Tamandua tetradactyla: one gene and its partners. The protein of the gene in region 4 purifies or fractionates together with the protein of the main gene of each other region. This does not show direct contact. Links are inferred from orthologs where the notes say so. Each region holds a gene or a part of one and is shown on either strand. Other genes may lie near its edges. The genes, in order: RAD9A, ATR, CDC45 and CLSPN.

Region 1 (7,160 bases), on a different chromosome or scaffold from region 4:
CTTAGTTACAGGGAACCCTGACACATCCAGCAGACACTTACCTGTAGCCAGGGAAATAGGAGCAAACTGAAGAGGCAGGTGGAGAGAAATAACAGGGCTCAGGGTGGGAGTCTGTACTGTTAGAGAGATGGTTCCAACAGCTCTCTTTGGATCATGTCTCCAGGAAAAGGGGCATTTATGGCCCTCAGAAGTCCTGCACCATCCCACACCTAGGAATGAAACAGGTAGTCAATCATGGCCCATGCCCTCTTTGGCTGAGATGGTCTCCTCTGTAATAACAGAGGATTTCAGGGAAAATCTAAACCCTTGGTGGGTAAAACAGGATATGGGAGGACGTGCCTATTCTCAAGCCATTCTCCTTTCAATCCTCTCTGTGACCTTCTCAAAAACGATCTCCATCCCATCCTGAGATAGTTCTCCTCTCTGAAAGTCAATTAACATTTCTCTCGAGGGGGCCTACCTCTTGGGACATGTTTAGCCCTGGGCAGGATTGGAAGAAGGGCAAGGGCCCAGAAGTCAGACTGAAGAAGGTGCTGCTGAAGGTAACATCATTCCTTTGCAGCAGCTACAGGCCTTAGCAACCTGTTGGCCTGGTGGATGCAGTTTCCCACTCCACGTAGATCACAGGTGGGAGAGAAATATTCTTGAGGATGAGGGAGCCAAGAAAAAAACCAGACATGGACACAAATGCCACAAGAGCCCAAGGAGTGTTCATCACTTGTCTTCCAGACAGTGGAAGTTTCCTTCCCTTGGGCTTCTTTACCTCATTTTCAGGGAAGAAGACTCACAAATCCTTCTAACTATTCACAGAAGATCCTGTTCACCGGTCTTAGTTGACAGGTACTGCATTCAACATGCCAACACGGCCCTTGACCTACAATCCATCTGCCTGTTCACGGTCCTCCTCTGAAAGGAAAGCTGTCAGAGGGCATATGAATCTAATGAAAGGGATTCCAGGTAACACAGAGATCTCACCTCAATTCCTTGCTAGTGGAAACTCACAGCCCTGGTCCATTCACTAATATTTAAAGGGTGCTAACCAGATATCAAGCTTGAATAAGACACTGATCAGAATCCAGTCCCTGCTCACCAAGGATACAGATATTTCTCTTCCAGGTCTCTCGAGGGGCTGTGGGAAGGGCACCCAGAGCATCTTTCCCCTACTTCTTGGCATATCCACATTTTCCACATCCTTCAAGCCCTAGCTCAAATGCTGTCTCTTCCTTGATGCTCTTGGTAAAGTACAGGGTCTCTCCTGCCTTCCAATCTTCAAAGCTCTATCACCTATATCCCTCTTTGGACACAGCTCTTTCTCCTTGTATTATATGAGTCTTGTATGCCTATTTGATCTTCTATCCTACATGCTATGCTTCTTGAGGGCAAAGATTGTCCTATAAATCTTCCTGTCCCTCACAACACAGTACCAGGCATATAACAGGAACTCAGGAAGTGCTCGCAGAATAATGTCTCACAGCTTCCACATAAAGATGCTTGTTGGGTGAATGAAGGCTTGTTTGTAAAGCTGCTTGGGGGGGTGGGGGGGAGGGGTCCCAGATTTAAAAAAATAATAATAATTAAAAACTCCTTGCTAGGCTTTTCCCAGTGAACACAAAGTTTGAACTCAATGCAAGCGGCACAGGATTACGATGTATTTCTCATAACTATTGTGTATATCCAGTCTTAAGGAAATAGATTTTAGCTCTATATTCAGCTGTTTTTGCATCTGTCATGTGTGTTCTCATCCTCTATGAATCGTAAGGAAAAGAAGGTGTTTTCTCCACTCTGTGTTGTTTGGCCTTCCCTAGGTGCTATGTGGTAATGCTATAACCCAGCCTGCAGCTAAAGAAGGGAGAAACCTCTGTCTTTAGCATCCAACTTCGTGTACAGAGAATGGATTTAACCAGCAATAAAGGAAGTTACTCCAGAAAATTAGGAAATGGTCTCATAGTGGCTAAGGAATTTAAAATGTTATCAGAAATGATGGCTGGGACTTGGAATGGCGCTTGCTACGTGAAGGCCCCATGCTAAAAACTTATATAGATTATCTCATTTATTCCTCAAAAACCTGAGGTCATACTATCATTATCTCCACTTGTACAAAAAAAATGGAGGCTCAAGAGATGCAGTAAATTTGCCCAGAGTCACAAACCCAGGTTTCTCTGACTCTAGGTTCTGAGCTGAGGTTCTTGCTCAAACCATACCAACGGTTTCAGCAGGATGCAAAATACGCAGAAGAGATTTTAGGGATCATCCGTTTCAACCTCCTTATTTTACAGAAAAGGAAATGGGTTCAAGGACATAAAGGCACTCGTCCCCCAGGTCACAGAGAGCCAGGAGCAGCGCTGCCCCGGCATAGCAATGGGCACTGGAAATCAAGTCCAATCCCCGACTTTGCAGAGCGGGGTGTGGGGGAGTGCCAAACCCCCGAGGGGCTGGGACTCCTCCGGTACCCGAGTTCATCAAAGGCCGAGGGGCTGGAACCCCGGGCGCGCTCGCGGCCCTGCGGGGCGCCGTCTCACCTTCACCTGCGACGCGAACCATCCCACCGGCGGCCCGCACCCCGCCCGCACCCGGCCCGAGCCCCGCAAGTACCTGTTGGCGACGCGCAGGCCCGCGGCTGGGGATGACAAGGCGCTGGTCCGGCGCAGAGACGGCGGGGCTGCGCGGGCCAGAGCTGGACACCCGCCTCGCAGGCCCGGGCCTTCCCGGCCAGTTCGCCTCAGAACGCTCAGGCCCCAGTAGCGCGCGGACAACTGAGGAAAATTCGGGAGCGCTGGTCCCGGGAGGCAGGGCCGGCCTGACTTCCTCCCCTCAAGCTTCCTATGTTACCCGGTCAGCCTTCTGCAGACCCGTTCCAAGCCCCAGTGCACCTCAAGAGGAGAAACGCCTTGGGGTTCGGGAGAGTCAAGCGGCTCGGCACCCAGGGAGTGGGGGTCTGCGGGAGGGAAGAGGAAGAAGACGGGTTCCTATGGAAACTAGATGAAGTTCTTTGCGCCTGCGCCAACGCGCTAGGTACGCTGGGAAATGTGGTTTCCCGGCTGTTCTCCCTCCCCCTCCCCGAGGCCAGAAGAATGGACGCAAGATGGCGCCCGAGCGTCGCAGTGGGTTCAAGTCAGCTGGGCGTCCGGGTTCCCCGGCACTTTTCCGAAGGAGAGGCCGCGGAGGCCTCAAAGGTAGACTCAAATCAGTCGCTGCCCAGAGGCGCCTGGGATGCGGGGGAGGGGAGGGGGCGCGGTCTCTTGAGCGCGCTCGATTTTGCGTTTGAAAACTTGTTCAAAAGAGGAGCTGCCCTGGCTCCGGGCAGGGGGGCGGCCGCGTCGGCAGAGACCTCTCCTCAGTCCGGGCCGAACCGGGCTAGGCAGAGGGAGACCGTTCGGACGGGGAGAGCTGCCCAGGATGGAACGGATGCGGTTCCTGCACGTGTAGGCGACCTCTCCTGCTGCGTGGAAGCCTAAGTGGGAGGTGACTTGGGAGACTCCGTGAGCGGGAGTCGTCCTGACCCTCCCCCTGGAGAGTTCCAGGCGGTGCCGGACCCAGAACCCGCCGTGGGCAGAACTGTGAAATCTGTGCGTTGACTTCCCAGGAACCACCTTTTCCACACCCGAGTAAGACCCCTAGACTAGGCCCCTAGAATCTAGTTCCGGTCCCTTAGAGACTCGATTACTTCCCCTGGACCTGGGTTCCTTATTTTTAAAATGGAGGTAATTATAGTGCCTGCCGTTTGTCCCTCTGGGAGTGTTGCAAGGTTCATGTGAGATGACATTGATGTGCAGTTAAAGATATGAAGGGGCATTCCCATTCGATGTAAATTGGGGCAATGCTTTGAGAGACAATTAGCCAGTGCCTCTCAAAATTAAAAATGTCCCTGTCCTTTGCTTCAGCAATTCTAGCACATGTCCTACAGACCTGGTGGTTATGTTTGCAGAGGAAAATACGTAGAAGGGTGTCTAGTGAAACATTATTCGAAATAAAAAACAAAAACCTGTAACCAACCTAAGCACTTATTGATAGCTGGCCACAAATAAATGAAGGTATATAAAATAGGATATATGTGGTTATTTTTAAATGGGGCAGCTGTTTCTGTACTGATGTGGAACTCTTCGTGACATGAAAAAAATGTCGAAGCGCAGAATAGCAAGTTAATATACTATTGTTATTTTAAAAAGAATATATGCACGCTAATACATTTGATTACATGAACATGCAGCATCAGGAGAAACTGGTAACAGTTGTTGCTTTTGAAGAGTGGAAGTGATGGATTGGAGGAAGGAATAGGAGGATGTTTCGTTTTATGTCCTTATTTCCTTTCCACTATTTTTCATTTGCTCCTTTAGCAATTTGTGCAAGTTTTTTATACACATACGGTCCTTAATCCTTTAGCCTGCATATTGAATGCAAATAGTTTTCCCTCCAGTACATGATTGGACCCAGCCTTCTGAGCTGCCCAGGCTGCAGGAGGGGAGGGCCTGGCCTTGGCTTCTGTCCCAAAACCAACACCCCCAGCCCCAGCCTAGGAAGATTGAAATGGCAGTCTGAGTGGGAGTCCGGGTTGGCTGTAGGGTGGCTAGCAGCCCTGTTTGTTCAGCAGCAAGGTGAGCCAGCCAAGCGGATCAAGAATCAGAACTAGCCTCTCTGTACCCCACCTTGCAACCCCAGGCAGGCCTCCCATAGACAGGCGCAAAGGATTCCTGTTCTAGAAACATGGGGAGGCTGAATTCTAGCAGGGTGTGCAGAGGCTATAATTCACATAGATGGCAGATGAGGGAGGGTGCTTGGAGATTTTCCTGTCTAAGTCCTTTGCTTTATAGAAAGAAACAGAGATTTGAGGTGGACTAAGTTGTAAGTGGTAAAGCCAGAGCGAGGCTCCAAGTTTCCAGGTTTCCTGCCCACCCCCACCCTACCCCCACCCCCATCTCCAGTGTTTGGCTTGATGCCCAAGCGCTGCTAGGAGTCACGCCAGGGTCTGGGTGAGGGGGTCCATCTTAAAACTGCAAGTGAGGCCTCAAAGACGAGAATATTTGAAAGGAATTGTACAACCCCTCACCCAAACCAGAGCAGTGTGTCGTAGGGCTGAGAGTATGATCTTGAAAAGAGGGGCCAGAACTAATTAAGGTGGGACCACTTACTCTTGAACACTGAATTGGAGCAGAAGGAACCCCTAGGCAGAAGGGGTGGGGCCCGGCGAGGGTCCTTCTTTCCTGGCCAGGATGGGTTGGCTGTCTTGCCTGTAGCAGAGGGAAGGGATGCTTGGGACTCAGAGTGGTTGAGACCTACCTAGCCTTGGGTGTCTGAGAGGAGACTGAGCTTCTGGAACAGGCTTGGTCCTGTCCAGATGGGCAGTGGCAGCTTCCGCTTCCTCATGGGTAACTCCCTTCAATTGTCCCAACAGAGCCAAACACCTGCTGCCAAGGCATGGGCTCGCTCCTTCACTGGCCTGCCTGAGCTTCCTGAGGGGCAGGGGCAGCTAACATTTACACAGGCCCTGCCCCAGGAGATGAGGGAGAGAGCAGTGGCCTCCCTTCTTCTCTCCCGCATTCTCCCTCCTCCTCCCCCCACAAACGTCCCACTACCCAAAGGGTCTGTCATGAGACATCTGGGAATTCTGATGTGACTGAGTAGTAATGAGAAGCCAGCTCCTCATGCAACCAGAGAAGGACTTGACTGATGACAAAATGGCTCAATCATAAAATTGAAAAGAACTTAATATGAAAATGTCTTTTTATTTCTAAGTACAAAGCCAGATACTATCAAGACTGTGAAAAACTGGCCAGAGGCTGTGAAGGACAAAAAGACGACTCTCTTTGGCCTGGTACCCTGTGACCCAGTGCAGTGCCGTGGGGAGAAGGCACCAGCAAAACCCCTGGGCCAGCTGTGAGGTGTGCACAGGGGGCTCACATGCCAGCCCGTCAGAGCAGCCCAGCATGCGGCCCCAGGGCCTCCCTGGACTGGGGACTGAGGTACCATCTGCCGTGGTGGTCCATGCATTCTCTGGTCCTAGTTGGCCCCAGAAATGAGGTGCAGTGGGAGGTGGGGAGGGAGGCAAGGGCCTTTCTATACTGCCAAACTCTGTTTTTATTCCTGTGGCTGCAGGTGAAGGTTTTAGGGCAGCAGTTGAGAGAAGTTAGGGTGCTGTTGCCCCCAAAGGCACTGTCAGGCTTTCTACTGCATCCTTCAAGATAAAGTCTTGAGCCCTTGGGCAGGTGGATGAGGGTCTGAGGCTGAAGGCTCTAGGAGGGTGAGGCTGTAGTGACGGGTCTGGGGACGCTGGGGAGGAGCTAAGAGGAAAGTGTATAGACAGAGAGGAGTGGGGAGTGTTTGTCCGAGGAGCTGTGGCCTCCATTTAGTGTCTAGGGGAGCACGCGTGTGTGTGTGAGGGCTCAGGCCCCACCCTCCTCGCCACTGTCATCCACGCTGGCCTGCCTAACCATCTTCCGGAACCTGGGTGTGGGGGGACAGCCAGCCTCTCTCTGCTCTTGCTCCTGCTCCTGGAAGGCACGGGCCCGGCTAGCCACCAGGGCAGCGCCCTGGAGGGCAACCACAGACTGGCGGGACTTCAGGGCAGGCCAGGGCCCCTTGCGGACCCGCCGGTCCCCCTTGGCCCTTGATTGCTGAGGGCAGGGTTGTGGGGAAGGGTCTTCCTCTGAAGACTCATTTGAAGAGAAAACCTGGATGGGTGAGAGGACAGGGAGGAAAAGTGAAGAGAAGGCTTTTAAAAGCAAGGGCTGTCTTATTGATTGTTGAACAGAAAGCCTGGCAGAGGCTAGGTGGAAAACGCTTGAGTAAGTGCAGAGAAACTGAACTGCTCGTGGTCACAGTTCCCTAGGAGGAAAAAGCCCCACAGCCTGGCCATCTCCCTGCTGCTGGCCCCCCTCCCCCTGCCTGTTCCTTCCTTCTGGCTCCCATCTCCCCTCACCTGCCACTTCCTTGAAGCCCTCTCCTCCGCCTTCTGCCCCTCTACTTTTCAACAGTCAGTCCAGTGACCTCATAGGAAACCCTTCTGGGTGCCAGGCCCTGGACTGGGGGTGTTTGGGTGCTGGATAAGGATACCGTGCCTTTGGGAACACCCACAACGCATCCATCCAACCATCCATGCCTCCCTTTCCTCCACATCCAGGGCCGCCTCCTCCAGGAAGCCTCCTCCCAATCTTCGCATCCTCTCT
Region 2 (7,328 bases), on a different chromosome or scaffold from region 4:
TTTTAATTATATGTGTAGCTTGCATTATATTTCTATCAGATGGTACCGATCTAGACATCTGGAAAATCTGTTAGAACCCTGATTCTTCAACAAATAAATTCCAAAGGAAGAGAGCAGAAACCTATAACTAATACTTAAGAGCCATACCAACCAATTACAATGTATGATCCTAAATTGAACTCTGCTTCAAAAGTAAAATTGGGAAAATCTAAACAGCCTAGATATTTGATATTATTGAGGAACTATTATTCTGTAGGTGTGATAATGATATTGTGACTATGTTTAAGTCTTTATCCTCTAAAGCCAAATATTGATATTTATGGATGAAATGATATCTGGAATTTGCTCCAAAGTAATCTGAGTTGCAAATAGGAGTATGATGAATTGATTATTATTGGGTGATGGGTAGAAGGGGAATTAATACATACACTATTTTTTCTCCTTTAAATGTTTGAAATTCTCCACAATGAAAGTTTTAAAAAGTTAAGAAAAAACACATATATTGAGTTTTAAAAATATATATTAGGAACAGATATAATAGTTAAGCTAAGGAATGGTACCCTACAAGCCTAAATGAATTCAACTTGAGCTCCATTCTTTAATTTAAACCAACACAGAACGTAGTAGAAAATCTGTTTGCTATCACATAGTATAAGGAAACATATAGTCATCTAAGTCTTGAACAAACCATTTTGAGCACCTAACATGTGCCAGGCAACACAGTAGGAGCCTCTAGTGGGAAGATGAAAAACACAGTGGGGTAGAATGTTAAGTGGGGTAGAGAGAACTGTGAGTCCATTCACCGAGAGTTAATACAGGACAAAACACAGGTCTGGGGAGAAAAAGGAATCCAGTTTTAAAAATATTGAGTCTGATTTGGGGGAACTAATTGGAGATGTCCAAGAGATAGTTGGAATTCAGTTCTAGTCCACAAGAAATGTCTATTTTAGAGATATAGACTTGTTGTGCCAGCAAGTGGGCTAAAACATATTGTCTATGATATTTCATTTAATATTCACAAGCAACAAGATAAGGATACTACTGTCTAGGAGAAGACTAATACTACTCACAGAGATTATATACCTAGCCTAAAGTCACACAGCTAGTAATAGCAAAGGCTTGAAGTCATTGCAATAAAACAGACATGATAATTTAAAAGTATTAGGCAATTATTCATAAGTCAGTTTTTCTATCCTTTCTTTTGGAATGGCTACAAATAAATAAAATGAAAGGTAACACATTCTGTTGAAGAAACAGACAAATGCAAATCCAAGATACCATTATTTGTATTAATATATCTTATGGAGGAAGAGAGAAAAGGAAAGTTTAACCAACTAATTCTACATTAAAGCAAGATGGGGAAAATATACTGAGCTTCATAAATAGTAAGTCTGAAAAATGAAATCTGCACAACTTCCTAAAGAAGCACTTTTATGAATCTTCTTTTAGTCAAGAAGTTACTTTACAAAATGTTAACTCAAAATATACTTGCAACATTGTTTAACACAAGGCATACTTGCAACATTCACCAAAAGTGGAAACAATTTCACACACAGAAAACAGGGTGATGCAGTTGGCACAAGAATGATGTAGGTTTCTTCATCTGTCCTCTAATTTATGTAACTGAGAAAGACTAAATTTCTTTGCAAGGTAGACAAGTGGAGATAAACACGACTGCACTGCAAAAAGAAAGGGAATTAGTTATTCCACCGGTTTAATGTTAGTTTCCACTTTGTATGGAAAGGTTTCAAACACCTAAAGAAATTGGGAAGAAATTATTATCCCAACTCATCTGGGGTAGTAGCACCAGCCTTCTTACTGGCAGGGTAAACACAGGAACAAAACCCGCTGCCTGGGCTCTTCAGGCTTATTGTTTGAGCTGGGAAGCCTGCGAAACGTGTCCCAGGGGGACTGCGGTTACCAGCACCTCTCCCCTCCACCGCTAAGGTGCCGGTGGACTTGACTTTACTGCAGCGCTAACAGGAAACAGAAATTTGCAAATGAAATAATGTTAAATTTACTCCAAATTTATGCAACACTGAAAGTTTAGATTTGCGATTGCTCTGGAAATAATGTTAAATTTACTCCGAATTTATGCAACACTGAAAGCTTAGATTTGCGATTGCTCTGGAAATAATGTTAAATTTACTCCAAATTTATGCAACACTGAAAGTTTAGATTTGCGATTGCTCTGGCCAATCCGTCGGATTTCTTCAGATACCAGGCATTTCCACGGCCTGAGTAAAATAATGGCGTGGGGGACCGGAGGGGGATACGAAGGGGCTCACATCTTCTAGAATGGCTTACGACTTCACTCTGAAGAAAGGAACTACGCTGTTAACAAGTGACCGTCCTTGCAGAAAATGAGAGCCGCTGATGCTTCTTCCAAAGGCAGTTCTGGAACAAGACGGTAACATACTAACTTCTCCAGGAGCGAACCTAAGAGTAGATATTGGGGAAGGTGTTGGGCAAGGCCCTTTAACTAAGGAAAGAGGTTTTCGGAAAGCGACCGGGTTTCAGAAGAGTGACCAGAAGCGACCACGGGGGCCGCTCCTCCGGCGGCGGCGGACACACCCCCGTGGGGCCGGGCGCGTGCGGGCAGCCGCCTTCAGTTCCTCAGGCCGGCTTCCGCGGACGGCGTGGACACACGGCGTCCTCTGTCCGGCCTCTGAGGGCGAGGCGCCCAGCTCGGTCACCGAACGTCTCCACAAAGGCCGAAGCGGGTGCTCAGAGGGCCGGGGCAGGGCCGCCGCCAGAGAGGGGAACCACGTGAGGCGCCGGCCCGCCGGGGAGGACACGGGAACCCAAAGCGGCCAAGCCTGGTCCTACCTAGCCAGCTCCCGCAGGGCCGGGATCATGGAAGCCAACTCCAGGCCGGGCTCGCCCATGCTGAAGCCGCGCGTTACTCGTCCACGACGCCGACTCGGGGACCTGGCATCACCACCGCTACCTTTAGCGGGAAGACGCGACGGTGCCTCGCGGGGCCCAAAACTCCTCCCCGAAGCTGCTGCGGATGTAGGACTCGGGGGGGAGGGGCGGGGAGGGCGGGGCCGGCGGCGGGCGAGCGGGTCTCGCGATAGTTCGCGCTTAGCCCGGCGCTGCGCGGGTCTGCGCGTCCGAGCGTCTGGGCTCCGAATTGCGGGTCGCTGCCCCGTGGGCTGGGAGGCCCCGCGGCCCCGGAGGCCGGGGGCTTGGCGGTTCCGACCCAGACGCCCTCGCCGACCTGCCCCCAGGTTTTAGGGGTTCCTCATTTCTCCACTCCCTTGACGACCTTTCTCAGGGAATCGGGGGAAAGGCGGGCTCCTCCCGCTCCTCTCTATACTTCAGCAGGTTTTTTCCATTTAAAGTTACGTCTATTGAGGATTCTCACAACCTTTAATTTTTAAAATTGGGGTTGGTTTGTGTTTATATATCTCCTCAAACCTTAGCCGTATTATTGTGTCGCCGTTCTGGGCCTCGGATACCTATGACTTAACTTTTAAAGTAAATCACTGGGTTTTGGCTCTCGACACTTTTCCCTCAGCCCGGCTTGGTCATCTGAGAGAGGACCGTTACCAGAGGCTGTTTCCACGGCAAAACCGTGTATTCCACCAGGCGGAGCCGTGCAGCGTGCTCGCTTGTGTTCTCTGGCCTGGGGATACATGTCGGTACAGCAGCGAACAAATGGAAGGAGAGAGGGACGACCGGGTGTGCGCCTGCCTCGGGGCCTTGGCGTCGCGGCCCATGCCCGGGTCCAGGCGCCGGTCCCTCGCCCCTCCCCCCGGTCTGCGTCGGCGTCGCCAGAGCCCCGCCCCCTGCCGGCCGGTGCGCGCGCTCACGCTCGCTCCCGCGGACCTGCGGGGTTTTTCTTCAGGGCGCCCAGAACCAAGTGATATATTGCATATGATTTTATTGACCGTCTCCTGCAATTAGAATATAAGCTCCTTGAAAACAGAGTTTTGTCTGTTTTGTTCACTGCTAGGTCCCCAGGACCTAAAACGGTGTCTGGCACGTAGCCGGTGTTCAACAAGGGTTTGTTGAATGAGTATTTGAGTGCTGTGGTGGAAAGAACATAGGATTAGGAGTTGGAAGCCCTGGACAACTCCTCATTCCACCTGCTAGAAACTCTATGGCTATAGAGATGAAACTCTATTTCATCTCTTTGCACTCCACTTTATTTCACCCATAAATAATCTAACTCATGAGACTGCAGTAAAAATTAAAGTCGTGTAGTGGAATACCATTTCTTGAATGAATTATGTTGTACTTGGATAGATGAATTCTGAAAATAATGTGAGTGAAAAAACAAATTGCAAAGGACTACATAACAGTATTATATCACTCCTGTACACTGTTTAAAGCGCAAAATAATTCCTTGCTCAGGGTATGTATACATACGTATATAACAAAAGTATAGAAACATTGTTGGGAAGGATACATCAACTTCATAGTGGTATTTCTAGAAAGGGAGATAATGAAATGTTGAGACAAACTATTTGTGAAGGTTTTAACAGACTCTTCAGTAAATGTGGCAAATTTAACATTATATTTGTTATGTTATATTATTCTTTGTATGGTTAGGATGTATACATTTTTTGGATGTATTAGTTTGTAAGTTGCCGGAATGTGATATACCAGAATTGGAATGGTTTTTAGAAAGGGGAATTTAATAAGTTACAAGTTTATAGTTCTAAACCTGTAAAAATGCCCAAGCAAGACATCCTGGGAAAGATAACCCTAATTCAAGGAAGGCCGATGGGTCAGGAACGCCTCTGTCAGGTGAGAAGTCATGTGGCTGCATCTGCTGGTCCCCTGCTCCTGGGCTCCGTTGCTTTCAGCCTCTGTTCCTGTGAGGGCTCCTCACTTTGCTTCTCTGGGGCTGGCTTTCATCTCTTGGCTTCCCTTGGCTCTCTCCAGGTTCTGGCTTGCTAACATCTCATGGCGTCGTCTGCTGGGCTCCAAGCATCTCCAAACACCCATGTCTCTGTTCCCCAAGTGTCTGTATCTGTGTCAGCTCTGCTCTGAGCTCTCTACAAAATGTTTCCCCTTTTAAAGGACTCCAGTAATCAAGACCCACCTTGAATGGGCAGAGTCACATCTCCATCTAAAAAAAGGTCACACCCACAGTTGGGCGTGACACATCTTTGTGGGGGTAATTTAATCAAAATTTTCCATTTACAAAAGTGAATCAGGATTAAAAGTAACAGCCACTCCCACAAGATAAGAATCAGGATTAAAACATGGTTTTTCTGGGGTACATAATAGATTCTAACTGGCACAAATATATTTTTAAAAGCTTAAGTTAGATAACATATAAAACACTTTATCAACTAAAAAGTAATAAATATTAGCTATTTTAGATATGAAGAAAGATTATAAAAATTGCTATTTTATCTGAAAGGCAATAGCTGAATAGCATTATAATTCTAAAAGACACTATGAATCCCCGAATGTTGAAGTAATAGAATAATAATAATAGGAAATTAAATAATCCAATTTAATTCAAAAAGTGATTTTTCTGAAAAGTACTGCCTGGATCCTACTGTGATACAAAGAAGAGGACGATAAAGTCAATCTCAAAGTAATGTACAATCTAGTAAGAATGCAAAAAGTTAAAAGTAAAGCAAAAATTGATAAATGCATAAGAGATATAAACAGGTTACAATGAAATATATAGAAGAGGAAAAGGGTATGTCTTCTCCAATGGAGAGAGGAGGTGGAATGCAAAGGGGCTCCAGGAAAAGGTAAAACCATATCTGAGATAGGACTTGAAGGATGTGTAGGATTTGGAGAGACAGTGACCGAGGAAGAGTAATATAGTCTAATTAGAGGCAGCAATGTGAATAAAAAGTAAAGAGCATTATTAGGGAGAGATGAATGGTTCAGTTTGGCTGGTGCTAGCAGTGTCCCAGATCAGGAAGTTCCAGCCAGCCGTGTGTGTAGACCTGTCTCCACTGATGAGTAAACTAGGGCGGGAAACCACCAGGTGGCACTGCAACCCAGCTGAGACCAAGATGAACTTGTCCTTGGCTGGATGCCTAAACTGGAGGGCTAGTTGTGCAGGTTCTGTCATAATGTGTCTATGATAGAGTCTAAGATTTTGCTATTTAATGTACATCATAAAGTATACACTAAAATAGAAATCTTTTAAAAATACCAGAAGTTTTACAAGTTCCTCTCTATACCTGAATGGGTCTCCATGTTCACCTCCTGCGTACACACACACACGCATCACTGTGGAGTTGTTCTACACAGCAGACAAAACAACCTTTTCAAAACCCAGATATAATCATGCCATTTGCCTGCTTCATTAGCTTGAATAAGTATTGAGTATTGTCAGGCATAGATTAATGGGTAAGAAAGGAACACGTCTGTTGTTTTTCATTAGAAAAAGCCTCAAATAATAGACCAACATAGCCACAAGCCAACATTCTTAAATTAATAAAGTAGAATAAATGATTAAACACAACATAACTGCACTAATCCATTTGGCCTGTTTAGTAGAAATACTGCAAAAATCTAATATGAAAAACATTTAGTTCTAATAAAGGAACGCATATAGTGTTTGAGAACTTTAAAGTTAAGTCATTTTTCTTCCTATCTTTGTGGCAATTTCACATCTACTGAGGATATATTATAAAACTGGAACTCCACTGTATTTGGAGGCAATTCAGAAATAATAACATGGACTACTTCCCTTGAGTTGGGATATTTATATCTTAGTTGTGAATTATTGTCATTTTCCTTGTCAAGTATGACCCTAAGATTATATCAGATTTATGGGAATAATAAGGATTATTTGCATTTGCAATCAATATTTTTGCTTTTCTCAAAATACTTTCAGCTGTTTCATCTGATGCTATACTCCTAGTGACTGTGATATACATGAAAATTAAGGGGAGAGGTTACAGAGTATGGGTTTTCAAACTTCAGCATGCTTAGGAATTGCCTGGAAGGCTTGTTAAAACAGATTCCTGAGTCTCAAGTCAAGAGATTCTCATTCATTAGATCTGAAAAGGAATTCAATAATTTGCATTTTTAACAAGCTCCTAAGTAATGCTGACACTGCTAGTCCATGGACCACATTTTGAGTTAGAACTGTTTTAGAACAAGAGTTCTTATCCTTGGCTGCACATTGAAATTACCTGGGGAGTTTTAGAAAGTACGTGGATCCCACTCCCAGGGATTCTTATTTAATTGGTCTAGGGTAAGGCAGTTAGATGTATTTGTATACATTTCCCTGGTTATATTAGTATGTCTATTAATAATTTGAATTTTTCTGTAAATTACCTATTTAAAACTTTACCATTTTTTATTCGGTTTTTGTCTTTTTATTGATACATAGGAGC
Region 3 (8,018 bases), on a different chromosome or scaffold from region 4:
TGAAGAGCCAGGGTGAATGTGGGCTGAGGACGGCCATCCCCCAGGCAGTAGGGCAAGGAAACCCGCTGTGGGAGGGGTGGGACAATGCTCAGAACCATCAACACACATTTACTCTAAAACTTAAGTTCATGATCACTCCGACAAGGACCTGCGGGAGAAGCAGCTGTGCTTTTGTGGGCCACAGGGTTTGGCCGGCAAGGGAGTGTCCCTGCAGTTCCAGCCCATGGCCAATGCAGGGTCTCTCAGCAGCCAGATGCCACACTCTCTGACCAACTCCTCCAAGTGGCTGCCGATCAGATCATGGCACTTCTGCTGCCTTCTTCCTAGGTGAAAGGAAGGCACATGGAGGGGAAGAATAGGGTTCCTGCCTGAGAGGCCACTGTGCCCTGGACAGACCTGTTCCTCTTTGGGCCATGCAGGGCCCCAACTGGCAGTGGCACTCACCCAGTGTGGGAGGTAGCAGATGCCCTCGTCGGCCACGAACTCCAGCACCCCACAGTGGGTCATGCGGTCTGAATTCTTGTTGGTCAGTTTGAAAAGCATGGGGTAGGTGATGTTAAGTCGGCCTGAAAAGGAGAGGGGGTGTAGAGGACACAGGTCTGAGAAAGGAGGGACACCCCGCCGCCACCACCTCCCCAGGAAGTGGCCTCCCAGGGCTCCTGCAGGGCACCCACACAGCTTGGACTGGTGGAGCAGGCACTGGAATCCCACGTGGTCTTCAGCCCCTTGGGGTCTTCCACCCACAAGACTCCATGTTCCTTGAGGCGGGTATGAATTCCTCCTGCCTGCTAGAGCACAGTGCTTGGCCCCAGAGAGAAACTTGGAATGTGTGGGGCATAATATAGCACTAGCTGAGGTATGCAATGATCTCAATTTTAAAGTGGCATTTCTTTTTTAAGTGACATATTTTTAAATGTATTCATAAGTAACTTAAGTGCCAACCAGGTGCTGGACAGAATCCCCGCCTCCAAAGGTTTCTAGTCTATAAGGGTGAAAAAGAGAACAAATAAGTCCACCATAACGCTGCCAGTGTCGTGGGAGTGGTCAGGGCCAGCAGGAAGGGCCATGGACTTGGGCTGGGCGAGTTCTCCAGGACTGTCGCCCAGCAGGGCAGCCAGTGGATGGGACACTCACAGTGAGGCATGGCTGGAGCATGGAGATGGGCTCAAGAAGGTCAGGATGGGGGGAAGCCGTGCCAGGACCACAGAGGATAAGCAGAATACCCAGCCCCTTGGTCAGGAACATGGGCTCTTAGCTAGTCCCAACCAGTGACTCCTATGTTCCAGTGACCTGTGGGGTCAGGGATGCATGGCGGACCAGGGACCAGCAATTGGCTATGGGGCAGAAACCTGGCTCAGGAGAGGCAGTGAGGCCTGGAAGGGAGGGGGCCAGCATTGAGAAGCAGGAAAGCCCAGGAGATTGGGGTGCTGGGGAAGAGGCAGGAGACGGCAGTGGCTGTGGATGCTATGAACCAGGCCGTCGTCGACTCTTCCCAGACACGGCACTTTCATGACCCCTTTTTACCTATGAGGAGGCTAGGTAGCATGCCCAAGATGGCACAGCTTAGGAGGGCCAACGCCAGGCTGCTGGCTCAAGTCTGGCAGTGTCACCAAGAAGCCATACCGTCTTTGGCTTATAGCATTCAGTGAACCAGTCAACACATTTCCATTCAGAAACGGGGTTAAGGCAGACTGTATTTGACCCCCCCACTAAGAATCCTAAATAAAGCAAACCCAGTGAAGACAGCTGGGGCAGGAAGTTCTGGCAGTTCTTCCAAGAGGAAGCCCCTCAGAAGTAGCACCTCACTGCAGAGGCAGCAGTGGGAAGAGGTGTCCCCTCCTCCTTGCCAAGGGTGGCTTCCAATGTGGTAGCTGAGTGGCAGTGGGCCCTGAGGCCAGTCCCGTGCCCAGAGCACCTCACAGCTGACCTGAATTATCAAGTTGCTTAGAAAATACTTACTGAGTTGATCGAGGGCTGAAGGTGGCATGATTACTGTAGAAAGAATATTTTAAAAAGTATTTAAAAGAAAAAAAAAAGGCAGAAACAAAAGCCAAAATGCAACTTTTGTTAACCCCCCCCAAAAAAAGTTATAAGCAATATTTTAATTTTAGGACAACCAGAATTTCATAACGATCTTTCATAAAGAATCTTATTTAATGTAATTTATTTTAAGGAACTGAATAGGTACCAGCTGTAAATCTCATCAGAATTAACCAACCCCCTACCCCCTCAGCAAGTCTGGGACAAGCAACATTGTCACTGGAACACTAGCTTCCAGTTACTGGACAAAATAATGCTGTGGAAGGGGATGGCTACAAGCATTGCGGGCTTAGGGGCAGGAAAGGTTACGAGTCAAATAAAAACAAGCACATACTCTTCCCTCCTTTCTCCACATCTGACCTGTCATTAGGCCCTGCGAGCATGGACACGGAGAAGCAGCGGTACTGTGTGGAGAAGCGGTTCTGGAAGACCCGCGGGATCGGGTGGTCAAACATATTGAAGGAGAACTAGAAGGAGAAAAGAGGTGCTGGTGTTAGAGCTAAGGAATATTTCTTTATGTCAAAAGCCAAAACACATGAGGGTAACTGATGGTGCAAAACATCGTCAAAGAGCAAAATGTACTAAAATCTTCATGTCCTGCCCAGGTACAGAGGCAATCTCAATCTCTGGGTTTCAATTGGTTCCACCGTCCCCAGCCTAATCCCTCAGATCTTGTCTCCATCATTTTTAGAAAGTGTGATTTACCAAAATACAAAGTTGGCCGTGGCTCAGTCCTTTCCTTCACCTCCCTCAGGGGCTCCCCACCGTCCCTGGGGCCAAGGCCAGATCTTTCACAACTCAGAGACTTGCTCACTGACACACGATCTCCCAAGCCTGCCCAGAACATTGTTCCTTTCGTTAATTTAATAAATGTTTATTAATCTAAAAACACATACTTATCGAGTGCCTACACTCTTCCAGGTTCTGCTCTGAGCACTTGGAAAACATCAATGAACAAAACAGATACAACCTCTGCCCTGTTGGAGCTGACCTTCGAAACAAGGGCTCCAAGCAAAAGTAAACCCAACCATGTCAGGCGGTGGTAAATGCTGTGAAGACAAGAGGCTGGGTAAGGGGATGCTGTTTTAAACAGGTGCTGAGGAAAGGTCTCTCTGTAAAGAACTGAATGAGTAGGAGCTGGGCAAAAAGCAAAGAAAGGCATTCCAGGCAGCAGGAACCGCAGGCACCCAGGGTTTGTATTCCTCCACCTGGCTCTCCATTACCATCTTTTCCCTTCCTAGGAAACCTCTGCTTTGCCAGCATTAGGTCTGGGGCTCCCCCAAAGCATTTCACAGTGCAGAGTAGGTGTAAATATTATGCTCTCCCCAAGAACTTCCTCACATTTAATCAGTAAGGCCAAGACACAGCACCATTAAAAGGCAAGACCCCACCTCTTAATGAGTGTGGACTAAGATGAGGTTTAGAAAACATGTTGCTCCTCCGTGATGGGTTTTCTCAAAGTACTGCAACTGCTGATAATGTTTCAAAGAGAATAAAACCTTGCAATAAAATATTTCCTGACTTGGCTCCACGTACACATTAAATACAGGAGAAAGCCACCTACTGATATTATTTTACTAGCAATTCCAAAATTGGTAAGCTGGATCAGCTATCTTCCTAAAATGCAAAATTAGCACACTCCTACATAAAGAATGGCAGATGGTTCTTCAATTCCTGGAACTCTAGTACAGTAGCTTTTAAACTGTAGTCTCTCTCTTTTAAGCAGTTGATGCTGTTCAACAATATCTCACCCAGAAGCCTGACAAATAATACAGGGTATCTCAGGATCTAGAGAGGGAGAGGAGTGGAAGCCTTTCCTGAACAGCTCACACTACACCATCCACTGAGCTGGTTCTTCTCTTTGCAAAAAAAGAGGAAACGCACCCAAAATATGCAACACCCTTCATCTGCCTTCAACTCCCCCATGCACCTGACCTTCTGCCCCTCCCTGCTGCTCCCGACCCCCACCTCTTACTATACTTTATAATTCCGATTCCTAGCACTGGGCCTGGCACATAACTGGTATTTGCTGTCTGTTAAGTGGATGAACCTGGGAGCAGAAATATGATTCAACTCTGACACACTTAGGATAAAATCACACCCATGTCGTTTACTGGAATGGGCTGATGATACTGAGGCAATGCTGCTGCACGATGGTAATGAGCCTGAACAGAAAAAGGGACATTCGAGGACGTAAACATAACGAGGTCGTGAACACAATCTGGGCATGAACCAGGAGGCACTGAGCTCGAGGAACTGGGGATGTCCCTGCCCAAGGGGGAGCCCCCCATGATTCTGCTCCCCACCTCCAAAAACGTTTAGATTAATTCCGTGCTTATGAAACCTGCTTCTTGTCTTACACTAACGAGACCACGGGTGGACACAAACGTAGAAGGCTACTTTTCACCCCTAAAGATCTCAGAGTCCAGCTGAAGGAAAGGCGGACCAAGCCCGGACAAGCGGAGATGCAGAGAGGCCACCTGCGGCCCAGGGCCTAACCTGGTACGCGTGACTCGGCATCTCAGCCGGCTGCCCCACCCGGCCCCCGCACTCGGCCAAGCCTGACCGCGCTCACCATGACTGACACCTCTGCCTTGCAGGCGCCACTTCCCCTAGAGAACGTTACGGTGAGAGCCGCCGAGCGTTCAGCCTCTCCACCACAGCCGCCGCCGCCACTCGGACACCCCGGGACGCTCACCGGAAGGCAGTTCTGACCTGTGCATGCTGAGGGGGGAGGACTGGGCCGAGGGCCGTCTGAAAAAGACAGAAACCAGGACAAAGACCCTATAACCTAGAACTTCCCTCGTCGAAAGAACAGGTAATACCGTTCCCTAGCTAGGCTCGCACTCTACAGCTAATTCTTTCGAATTATTTTAATTACATTTTGGCGGTACTCCCCTCCACACGAACCTGGTAGAGTCCATTGTAGTTCCCGACTACACTACCCAGAATGCACGCTAAATTTCCGGCCTCTGGTTCAGACATAGAGAAATTGGGCGGAAGTTAGCTACATATCCGCCTTCGAACTTCACCGAGAACCTATTGAAAACGAAACGAGTTGCTCCTTATTCGAAGCAAAACTAAGTTTAATTTATGGCGGGCAGGTTTCTTTGTTTTGGACTTCCCCGTGGGAAGAAGTAGGCTTCTTTTCCCACAGTAAAGATGTCCACCGAGCATCAGGCTTCTGGGTAAATGGAAGTCAGAGGTTGAAGGTGGCAACCATGTTTACGTCCTGCAGGGTTAGACGCTCCTTTCCGGGGGGCCGTCCGGAATTTTCCAGCCGTGGTTGGCGGAGCGCTAGTTCCCGCCCCTACCATGGCCCAATCAGGAAGGAGGCATGGCTGGGAACCGAGCAGCTATTGGTTGGCGGCATGGGCCAATCGAAAGAGCCCTGTTTTTTGGCGGGAGTCTTGACCGCCGCTGGAGCCAGCAGCGTCCCGGTGCGAGCGCAGGGCGTCCGGCCGCCGTGGCCATGTTCGTGTCCGATTTCCGCAAGGAGTTTTACGAGCTGGTCCAGAATCAGGTGAGTCCCGCTCCGGGTCCCCCAGCCGGGGCCCTGTCGGGGGCGAGGGGCGAGGTGGGAGAGGCCGTGTGCGGCCGGGAGGGCGGGAGGGACGTGGGCTCGAGTCGCTGCGCCCAGCCCGCCCGCTCTTCCCTCACAGAGAGTCCTTCTCTTCGTGGCCTCTGACGTGGACGCGCTGTGCGCCTGCAAGATCCTTCAGGTGAACCCCGCGGGACCTGAGAGGGCGGGCCAGGGTCGGGAGGGAGCACGTCGAGAGGTGAGGGCGCAGGCCGGAGTTGTCACTAGAGCATAGACCACTGAAGGCTGGGGACAGGGCCCCTGAAAAGTTACCTCCCTGGCTGTACAGTGTGGGGTGCGTTAGCGATGAGGCGAAAGGCAGGCAGAGCAGTTAGCATTTTTTGCAATAACCTATGCAAAAAAAAAAAAAAAACTTGCATTCAAGACCTATGGTGGCCTTTTAAGCGTGAGGTTTGAGAGACTGGAATCTGTGACAACTGAGGCATAATGGTGTGTCGTAACCATACTGGAAACACCGGGGCCGTGGGTCCCCTCAGGAATATCTGTTTTGAAGATGGGACTTTTCATTGAGCTTCAGTCAGGCAGTTGGATCAGGAACTTCTCTGAAGTCCTAGAAATAAGAGGAGCTTTTTTCTCCCAGTGTTTCACTTTAGTAATTTTCAAACATTCCACAAAGCTGGCAGAATGATGCAGTAAAAACTGGTACCAACCTTGTTTTAGCATCTATCCTCTGATGCTCTTTTAAAATCATCTTTCCTTTTTTGGGGGAAGGGCAGGTGCTGACTTGCCCTTCAAGGAAATTGCAGATATCTTAAGTGAGGTAGACTTAGAAAATACTTTCTCTCCAGGCCTTGTTCCAGTGTGACCACGTGCAGTACACGCTGGTTCCAGTTTCTGGGTGGCAAGAACTTGAAACTGCGTTTCTTGAGCATAAGGAACAGGTATGAAAGATGCGTTAGGCTAATAGGCTTTGTAACTCGATTGCAATGTCTCAACACTTAGAACTTTTTCAATTCAATAATAAGTTAAGCAGATATTTAATTATCGGCCATATTAAGTAACGTTGAAGAGAAGGGTATAATGTGTGTACACTGGTCACTTATTCTCAAGTTGTAGAGGCAGAATTGACAATTAAAAAAGCCAGTGAATATCAATATTCCCTAGCTTTGAGCTTGTGTTGCAGAAATTTCACCATACAGCGCATGAAATTTAGCAGTTAGTTTTTAATAAGGCATAGTGAAAACTATCTTAGAATATGCTGACATTTTATGTTACCTCTCCAAGAAAACGTATACTAGGTTCCAACTTGAAATCCAGGAATGTCTCTTCTCCTTTTGTAATTTAAACAGCAGAGGCCACGGCTCCTTGCACCTCTGCATGGGACTATAATGAGTGATGGGACATCTTGGCCGCACAGGGAGGGGCTGGGCTGAAGAGAAGGGTTCGTGGAGTCTTTTGCCATATCTGAGACTGTTCTGGCAGAGCTAGTCCTGGCCTGCAGCTCCTGTCTTCATGGGAGGGATCTATGCCAGTTTGATATTTGTAAGGGAAGGATTTCCTATGGCAATTGCATGAATGAAGAACTGAACTTAACATTTAGGTTCCCTGAAGATATGAATTGTTCAAGATCTGCTGAAGAGCTAAAGCTCTGCAATGCTATGAGCAAGGAGAAGCTGTGCAGCACAGTGACTATGGGGTCTGGAGAGATCATTCTATGTTTGAAGTCTTTATCCATTCCTTGTTAACCGCAGGTGCCTGTGTGCACAACTCGGGCTCCTCTGCACTGCAGGCCCAACCATAGCGCCTGCCCCATGGTGAGATGTGGCGATGAGATGAAGGAGCAAATGAAAGCACTTGCTACAGACTACCCATGGCTGTTCTCAGAGTCCCCTAGCTTCATCCTGGGCCTCAAGCCCACCATAGTGCTGGGGACTCATTGGGTCTCTGCAGAAACGCTAAGGCCTTGTGCCATGAACGTAAGATACACCTCGATGAATGTATATTATGGTGTCTATGTCCCTTTTTAGTTCCGTTACTTTATCCTTATAAACTGTGGAGCGAATGTAGACCTGTTGGATATCCTGCAACCTGAGGAAGACACCATATTCTTTGTATGTGACACCCACAGGCCAGTCAACGTCGTGAATGTGTACAACGACACTCAGGTAACCAGCTTCAGGGGCTGTCTTAATTTTCCAGGGCTGCTAGGACGCACTGGTGGGCTTCAGCAAGGGGAATTTACTGTCTCTTTGTTTCGGAAGCCAGAAGTCCATAATCAGGGTCTCGACAGGCCACAACTTCTCCCAGAGTCTGTGTACTGTGGTGCTGGCTCACTGCAGTTCTTGGTGTCCCTTGGCTTGCATCTCTGCCCCTGTCACAGGGCTTCTCCTTCTGGCTTCTGCTTTTGCTCAGGCATCTGTCTCTGTTTAGATTTCCT
Region 4 (7,498 bases):
CAAAATGGAATTAGGATTAAAACATGGCTTTTCTAGGGTACATACATCCTTTCAAACTGGCACAACCCCCAACCACATTATCACTCTCTAACCTTTAGCACCCTTTATTTTTCTTCAAAGGACTTATCACTGCCTGATCTATTAAATATTTATCTACGTATTGTCTATTGTCTATCTACTGCTACAAGAATGTAATCTTCATAAGAGTTTATTCAAAACAGTATCACTTGGCCTGGCCAATTTTCAGGTGCTGCATAGCACCAAGATATAGCAACTTAAAACAACCATTTATTTCTGTAATTTTGGCTGGGTTTAGCTGGGCGATTCTGCTGTCTCACCCTTGGTCACTCTTGTGTTTGCATTCATATGGAGGCTCAGTAGGGCTGGATGGTCCAGGATGATCAGGTCTGACCGTTTGCTGTTGGCTGGGATGTCTTGATTCTCCTCTATGTGGTTCATTCAAAAGGATAGCTTGGGTTTCTGAAATGGTGGTGGCAGTAGTTTAAGATAATGAAAGTGGAAGCTACACAGCCCCTTAAGGCCCAGCCTCAGAAGCCACACAATTTTACTTTCACCATATGCTGTCAACCAATGTAAGTCACAAGTTCAGCCCAAATTCAAGAGATGGAGAACAAGATTCTGCCTCTTGATGGGAAGAATGGCAAAATCACTATGTAAAAGGGAGACGACAGAACGCCATGATTATTCTCACAATCTTCCACAATGATCCACAATGATCCTTTGTTGTCATTCCCTAAAAATCTTATCATCATTCCTGTCTCCATGCCTTTACCCATTCCATTTTCCCTGCCTAAAATAGTATCCGTTTTCTTCTTTGCCTATATAAACACGGACATAAACATCAGTTTTTCACTGATGTTTAGCAACCATGGCCCCACCCTTTACTGGCCCCACCTTGGCCAGTAAAACCTTAGTCATTATAACAACTGTGACAAATCCCCTGATTGAATACCAGTGGCAAAATCACCTTTTGGCCCATAGTGGATACAATATCGTTTTGTCTAGCTGTACCCCAACTATCCCCCCCATGACTTCCTCATACTGATCTACTTTTAGTTTCCCAAACATAACATGCTGCATCAAGCCTCTACACATGCCTTGCATGTCTTCTTCTCCCCACGTTGGCCTGCAGAATTCCAATTCATCTTCAAAAATCAGTTCAGGGATCATCTCTTGCTGACTTTCCCAAGGTGAAGCCATTTGCCCCACCTCAGGCCCCCAAAGCCACTTGATTTTAATCTGGTGATATAAATTCAGAAAACTTTCTACTAGTAGATCTATCATTCCACCACACAAATCAATATTAAAAAGAAAGTCTGAAATTACATGTCTATGAAATAATAAGCTATGAAATTTAACATGCTTAGCTCATCCCAAAGTTGTTCCATTTATATTTGCTCTTCCATTATTGCACACTCTTGTTTGCTTGCCTGTTTCCAACCCAGCAATGTGAAACTCTTTGAGAACAAGGCTGTATTTTATTTATCTTTATATTTTCAGCATCTAGAATAGGCTTAAAATAGGTGCTCAAGATTTCTCAAATAAGTGGATGAGTATGTTATGGGTACTTTAGGTTGTGGCAAAGGACATTCTGCACACAAAATAGCTGATGGGAAAAGGCCCTGGTACTTTTTTTTTTTTTTAGGCTATGATATTTTAATGATTCAGTCAGCAATTATTTATTAAGTGTCTACAATGTGTCAGGTCCAGTGCCATTTTTAAAGGTCAGGGGTTAACTATAGTAAGCAAGAAAAATAGCCCTGGCCTTCAAGAGGGCACTTTGCAAAAGAAGCTTTTTAAATATATAGAAAAATGGCAAGGGGTCGTTTTTAAAAGCAGATACTTGGAGAAAATAAGCATTTCATGCCACCAAAGGAAACTTTAAGTAACTCTGAACAATCTTAAAATGAAAAGAAAATGGTTTTAGGATGGAGTGGCTGCTAACCATGGATGGATTGACATGACCAAGACATAACACATGGTGGCGCTGCTTCCCAGGGATGAAGATTAAAAATCCGTGTTTGGTGATTCTAGAGGTTTTAGGACTTTAGAAAAGCAAGTCGATCTCAAACTTGGTTCAGAGGAATAACAGCACTAGAAAATAAACATGGTAGGCTTTCTCAATTTGCAGAGAAGTTGAAATAAAAGATACAATTTAGTTAATTTTCTCCTTCCAAACTTTCTTAAGCCTTTGGGGCCTGCATTTGATTGTGTACCAGTGAGCAAATAAAAATAGAATACTTTGGAATGGGCTGAGCATGTTAAGTTCCATGGCTTATGATTTCATGGACATGTAATTTCAGTATTTCTTTTTAATATTGATTAGTGTGATGGAATGATAGATTCTACTAGCAGAAACTTTTCTGAATTTATATTACTGGATTAAAATCAGCAATATTGCAAAGCATTTCCTACAAATACCATACTTTCAGGTGCTCTGTCAGTTAAGCCAATCTGAGAATCATGAGCTGATCCAAGGTCTGTAAATAAGACAGCAGGGCTCTGAAAAGCTAAATGACTTACATAAGGCCATAAAGTCATCTATGGGACAGGCTCAGGCTAATCCCTTTAAACACTACAGATCTTTCCCTTGCAGCCACCTTCCATCTCCATCAAAAGGTACTCTAGGAACTTCAGCTTCCTTTCTTCACCTCTCATTCATTACTCAACCAATTACAAACTGCCTTCTATCCCCACACCCACCAATAAGATCCTATCATCATCCTCTTTTCCTCTCATGTCTCACTCTATCCACCTTTATCCTTTTATTATTAATTTCTACACTGACGATTCCAAAATATGCATCTATAGCACTCACTCTCATATTTAGAGGGCTAAGATTTTGGGGGCGCTGACTCCGTGCCAGAAGTAATTATAAGTCTCATCTTATTACTCTTCACAGTAACCTTGTGATTTAAGTAATACTGTTACCTCCATTTTAGCAGATGAGGAAACTAAAGGCCTTTAAAAAGCTAGTAACGGGGAGTCACACCCTGTTCTGACTTCAGGGATCCTAGAAGCCATCCAAGAGAACTTGCCTGAGTAGTCTCTGCATTTTCCCTCCTTTCCCTGCTCTAGTTTCCCAGTAGCATTTATTATTGTCTGAAATTTTATTTATGTCTATTTATTTTCTGTTCCAAAAGGACAAGCACTTTGTATTATTTACCAATAGCTATTCTCTACCTTGAGCAGGCATCAAAATCATTTCAAAAGCTTGTTAAAACCCACAGTGGTGAGACTTCCTGCCCCCAAAGTTTCTGATTCAACATGCCTGAAGTGGGGTCTGAGAATTGCATTTCTAACAAGTTCCCAGATGATGCTGATGTTGTTTGTTGGTCTGGGAACCACACATTGAGAACCAAGAACATCCCTGGCTCATGGTAGGGGAATCAATAAATATTTGTTGAATGTACTTGACATATATTATTCTTCCCGAATTCTCTCTCAAAAGTGTATCTTCAAATCTCTCTGCAACTTGTGAAAGAAATTTTCAACTCCCTAATGAAGTATCCAGCAAATGTCAAACTTGTCTAATCATTTGCACCTCAAACCTACTCTGCTTATCTCATAATCACCTCTACTCTGTCTTCCAAATTCAAAATTTTCAATTCTTTCCTTTCATTCCTCCATCTAATCAGTCTCCAAGTTTTGTTGATTCTACCAATAAATGGCTCTTAACTATAACACCCATTTCCCAGCACCTTAGAAAACTTGGAAGAGGGAACCAGCGGAGAGGGTGACCAACCATCCCAGTTTGTCCGGCAGGGTCCCAGAGATGTGGGAGTTTCAGTGTTAAAACTGGGAAAGTCCTGGGCAAACTGGGACTAGTTGGTCATCCTACTGGTGGATAGAACTGTGAGTGGGAGAGGTGGTAGGTGTGGTAAATAGGCTGATTTTTCTTTCCTTGCGCTCTTTGTTCTCCTCATGGTGCCCTTCGATGGCCTAACCCAACCTGAAGCCTGACCACAAGATGGAGTAATGCAGTGCCGGGAGGTTCATTTTGCTGTGACACAGGGCAGGAGAAAGAAAGGACAGGAAATGGACCTGGAGTAGCAAAAAGATAACCAACCTACTGGCAAAACTGGGATTAGAATTCTCTGGGATTACTGTGACTCCAAAGCTTTTACCTTTTTGCTTTACAGAAAGATTGAAGTGGGATGGATGACAAAGATAGTCTTTGCTATGTGAGCAGACCACAATGTTTCTTTTCTTTTGTGCTCCGTGGCATGAATGTCATACACAAGAAGGGGCAGACGGAATATAGCTGGCTGAAGGGCTGGAGCAATTGGAGAAGTCCCCCAGAGGTGCCTGGACTCCCGCTGGAAAGATTCAGAACACCACAGGAGCCCTGGGACCTCCTCCCAGCTCACTAACCGCCTGGAGGGCTCACTCCTCAAATTGCGCTGGATGGGAGTGGCCGAGCTATGGCAAGGGTCAAAGGTCAAAGATCACCACTGGCTTGTTACCTTCTTGCAAGGCCAGAAACCCGATCTCCCGATACTTTAGCGCACCTTCACCCCAGCACCCGCTCAGCTGACAAGACGAATCGCGACCCGCCAACCCGACCCAGATTATACTACTCGGAGGCGCTTAGTGATTGGTAGGACGGAGTGGGGGGCAGAGACTCCGAAAGCCTCTTTCCGATTGGTGCAAATCATCGAGGGTGGGGCTTCCACTCCGGCTGGGCGCGAAAGCTCGAAGCGGGCAGCATAGCTGAAGACGGCTGGAGCGGGTACTCCCAGACAAGGAGCCGGAAAGCTGCTTGGTCCAGAGCACAGCGCTGTGGTGACTGGAATCATGACGGGAGACGTGGCTCCTGAGGTGAATGTATGTACGTCCCTCCATCCGGGCTGTTGAGGCCCGGCGCCGAGGGGCGGGGAGGGGCACTGATGGAGACTAGCAGAGCCGGGTTCGCCTGGCCTGGAGGACTACAACTCCCGGCGTGCCCCGCGGCCGGCTCGGCGGCCCCGGGACTCTGCGGGTTACTTTTCCGCGGGCGGATTCCTGCAGTTCCTGGATTCCCGCTCTCCGGCTTCCGGAGTCTTTGCGGCGCCCCTTGCCTGCAGCCAATTGTTGTCTAGCGCTTGCCCATCTCTCCTCCACCTGCCTCTCTGCTTTGGCGCGTTTCCTGACGCGGTTGCTTTTCCTCTTAAATCGCCCCAAAAGAGGAAGGCCCAGGCCGAATAGGGTCGCCAGAGTGCAGGGCAGGATTCTCGATAGAGGCAGCGTTGTTGGGAAGTTTGAGATTTGAGTCTAGAAGGGGCCTTTGATGTCCTCGCGCGCTGATGTCACCCTAAGCCCTCCCTCCCTCTCCCCCCGTTCTCCGACTAGGCCCGCTGTGGGGAAGGAGCGGTTTCGAGCCTTCCCGATTGATGGCTGACTTTTGGGCTTAAAAACTACATTTCCAGATTCCTACTGTTTTCTGGGGTGCAGAATTTAAGGCGGCAAAACAAAAAGAAACAATAAAAACCCCTCTGGCTAAAATATCTAATAGTTTTTAAATCAAAATTAATTCGAAACATTGATAATGTGTTCCTGACCAAATGGGGGAAAAGAAATGTAATAAAATAAAATTTCAATAACTAAGAGATTTTAAATAGAGTCGGGAGACTGTTCTGGAGGTTACTCTTATGCAGGCTTCAGCTAGATATTGCAAAATGCCATGGTATGCTAAATCCCAACCAACAGTATTCCTGAAAACCCTAAAGAATACCCAGTACTCTGAGACTGTATAATAAAGTTTCACTTACTGAGTTTGCTTTTCTGAAACCTAAAACCTCCAGATTGTTCCTATACCAGCTAATCCCTGAAACCCAGAGGTACCAGTCTCTCCAAGAACATCAACCAGCTGCATCCCCCTACCCCATAAGGTCAACACCCCTTTTCAACATGAAGATTTTAGAATGGTCATTCCCCAAATAGCCCTAAAGTTTGGGAGAAGGTTCAAAGGAGAAGGAGGAGTTATAACCCAGAAGATAGGATTTAACAAATCAGTATGACTATTGAATCATATTGATATTTCTTTTTAGTCTCCAGTGTATTAGAATAGCTAGGGGGAAATATCTGAACTTGTGCAAGTGTAACTCAAATCATACTTTGAAATTTGTTCTGTAACTACTTGTTAAAATGTACTTTGAAATTTATCACTTTTTTGCATGTTATTTTTCAAAATAATTGTTTTTAAAAAAAGAACAAGAAACCCACAAAAATCAAAATTAATGCAAAAAATTCCATGATTTGATAATTGAACAAAATATCAAATAAAGACAAGATCCTCCCTGCCTCACTCACCTTACCCCACCTCATTCTCCTTACAGTAATCCAGTCCCTGATTTCAGTCCAATGAAATTTTATTTACAAAAACAAGCAACTGGGAAAAAAAAAACAAAAAACAAGCAACTGACCCCATGAGCCATAGTCTGCCATTTTGATACTTTAAAAGATATTGCATTAAAATATTATTTATCTTGATTACTGAGTTTTTCTGGTGTGTCACCATCTCCTCCTGCTTTTGTTGTAGCAGCTGCTGCTAGAAATTGCCTGGAATGGAAAAGATTAAAAGCTTTATCGTGTACAGCGCTGTGTGGTTATCTAAACTCAATTTCTGCATCTGCAAACAGAACTAATCCTTTTTGGATTGTTGGAAGGATAATCAGGATTTACCTCATAATTCCCAGTGATTCCTCAGTGTGTTACATTTTGTCATTATTTTAATAGGTGTATCAGACATTGAAATCGATTTAATAGTTATTTGAGAGGTAAGGCCTTGTGCCCTGTTACATTACAGATGTTAATATTTTCCCCCTTTTTAAGAAGTTTTGACTTAGAGCCCTGAGAACACTAAGGAGGTAGTAGACCTGGCTTCTGGGGTCTGCTTTGTCACTAACTGGTCAAGTCATTTAATACACCTCTCCTTAAGTTTTTCTAGTTTGTGACTTTTTAAAAATAAATTCCTAAACCTATACAGACTTAGAGAGACTGATACAATGAACCCATCACTCAACTCCAACACTTTTCAAATCATGGCCAGTCTTGTTTCTCCTATACCCTTACCCACTGCCCCCTATACCTGATTACTTGGAAACAAAACCATACATCATAGCATTCCATCCACATATTTCAGCATGCGTCCCTAAAAGCTAAGGGCTGTCTTAGTTTACTAGGGCTGCTTTAACACCACAGACTGTTCGGCTTAAAGAAGAGGAATGTACTGTCTCATAGTTTTGGAGACTATAAGTCCAAAATCAAGGTGTTGGCAAGATTGTGCTTTCTCTGGAGTCTGCAGCATTCTGGTGGAGGCTTGTTAGCAATCCATAACTATCTCTGCCTTTGTCACATTATCATCTATCTCCTGTCAACTGTCCACATTTCCACTGCTTATAAGTCATACTGGATTGAGGCCTCCCCTGATTCTATATGATCTCACTATAACTAATAACATCTTCAAAGATCCTTTTTACACATCAGTTCACATTCA

The links.
Region 1: the proteins of CLSPN (region 4) and RAD9A purify together in Homo sapiens (affinity purification with western blotting; 3 studies listed by BioGRID and IntAct, with this or other methods). This does not show direct contact. The link is inferred for Tamandua tetradactyla from reciprocal best matches to the Homo sapiens genes CLSPN and RAD9A.
Region 2: the proteins of CLSPN (region 4) and ATR purify together in Homo sapiens (affinity purification with western blotting; 3 studies listed by BioGRID). This does not show direct contact. The link is inferred for Tamandua tetradactyla from reciprocal best matches to the Homo sapiens genes CLSPN and ATR.
Region 3: the proteins of CLSPN (region 4) and CDC45 purify together in Homo sapiens (affinity purification with western blotting; 4 studies listed by BioGRID and IntAct, with this or other methods). This does not show direct contact. The link is inferred for Tamandua tetradactyla from reciprocal best matches to the Homo sapiens genes CLSPN and CDC45.

Annotation. Positions count from the first base shown.
Region 1 is NC_135335.1:7,100,240-7,107,399, forward strand, and holds the start of RAD9A (cell cycle checkpoint control protein RAD9A), read right to left. Parts: upstream 3,007-7,160; 5' UTR 2,593-3,006; intron 210-2,592; 5' UTR 42-209; exon of another isoform or gene 1-41. Other genes in the region: SSH3 (protein phosphatase Slingshot homolog 3), read right to left, coding at 6,378-6,665. UniProt on the Homo sapiens protein: Component of the 9-1-1 cell-cycle checkpoint response complex that plays a major role in DNA repair. The 9-1-1 complex is recruited to DNA lesion upon damage by the RAD17-replication factor C (RFC) clamp loader complex.
Region 2 is NC_135341.1:86,773,862-86,781,189, forward strand, and holds the start of ATR (serine/threonine-protein kinase ATR), read right to left. Parts: upstream 3,011-7,328; 5' UTR 2,889-3,010; coding exon 2,830-2,888; intron 1-2,829. UniProt on the Homo sapiens protein: Serine/threonine protein kinase which activates checkpoint signaling upon genotoxic stresses such as ionizing radiation (IR), ultraviolet light (UV), or DNA replication stalling, thereby acting as a DNA damage sensor.
Region 3 is NC_135331.1:27,901,431-27,909,448, forward strand, and holds the start of CDC45 (cell division control protein 45 homolog), read left to right. Parts: upstream 1-4,998; 5' UTR 4,999-5,377; coding exon 5,378-5,563; exon of another isoform or gene 5,564-5,644; intron 5,645-5,702; coding exon 5,703-5,762; intron 5,763-6,429; coding exon 6,430-6,522; intron 6,523-7,608; coding exon 7,609-7,746; intron 7,747-8,018. Other genes in the region: UFD1 (ubiquitin recognition factor in ER-associated degradation protein 1), read right to left, coding at 445-566, 1,960-1,992, 2,375-2,507, 4,616-4,794, 4,922-4,964. UniProt on the Homo sapiens protein: Required for initiation of chromosomal DNA replication. Core component of CDC45-MCM-GINS (CMG) helicase, the molecular machine that unwinds template DNA during replication, and around which the replisome is built.
Region 4 is NC_135328.1:189,610,532-189,618,029, forward strand, and holds the start of CLSPN (claspin), read left to right. Parts: upstream 1-4,496; 5' UTR 4,497-4,818; coding exon 4,819-4,848; intron 4,849-7,498.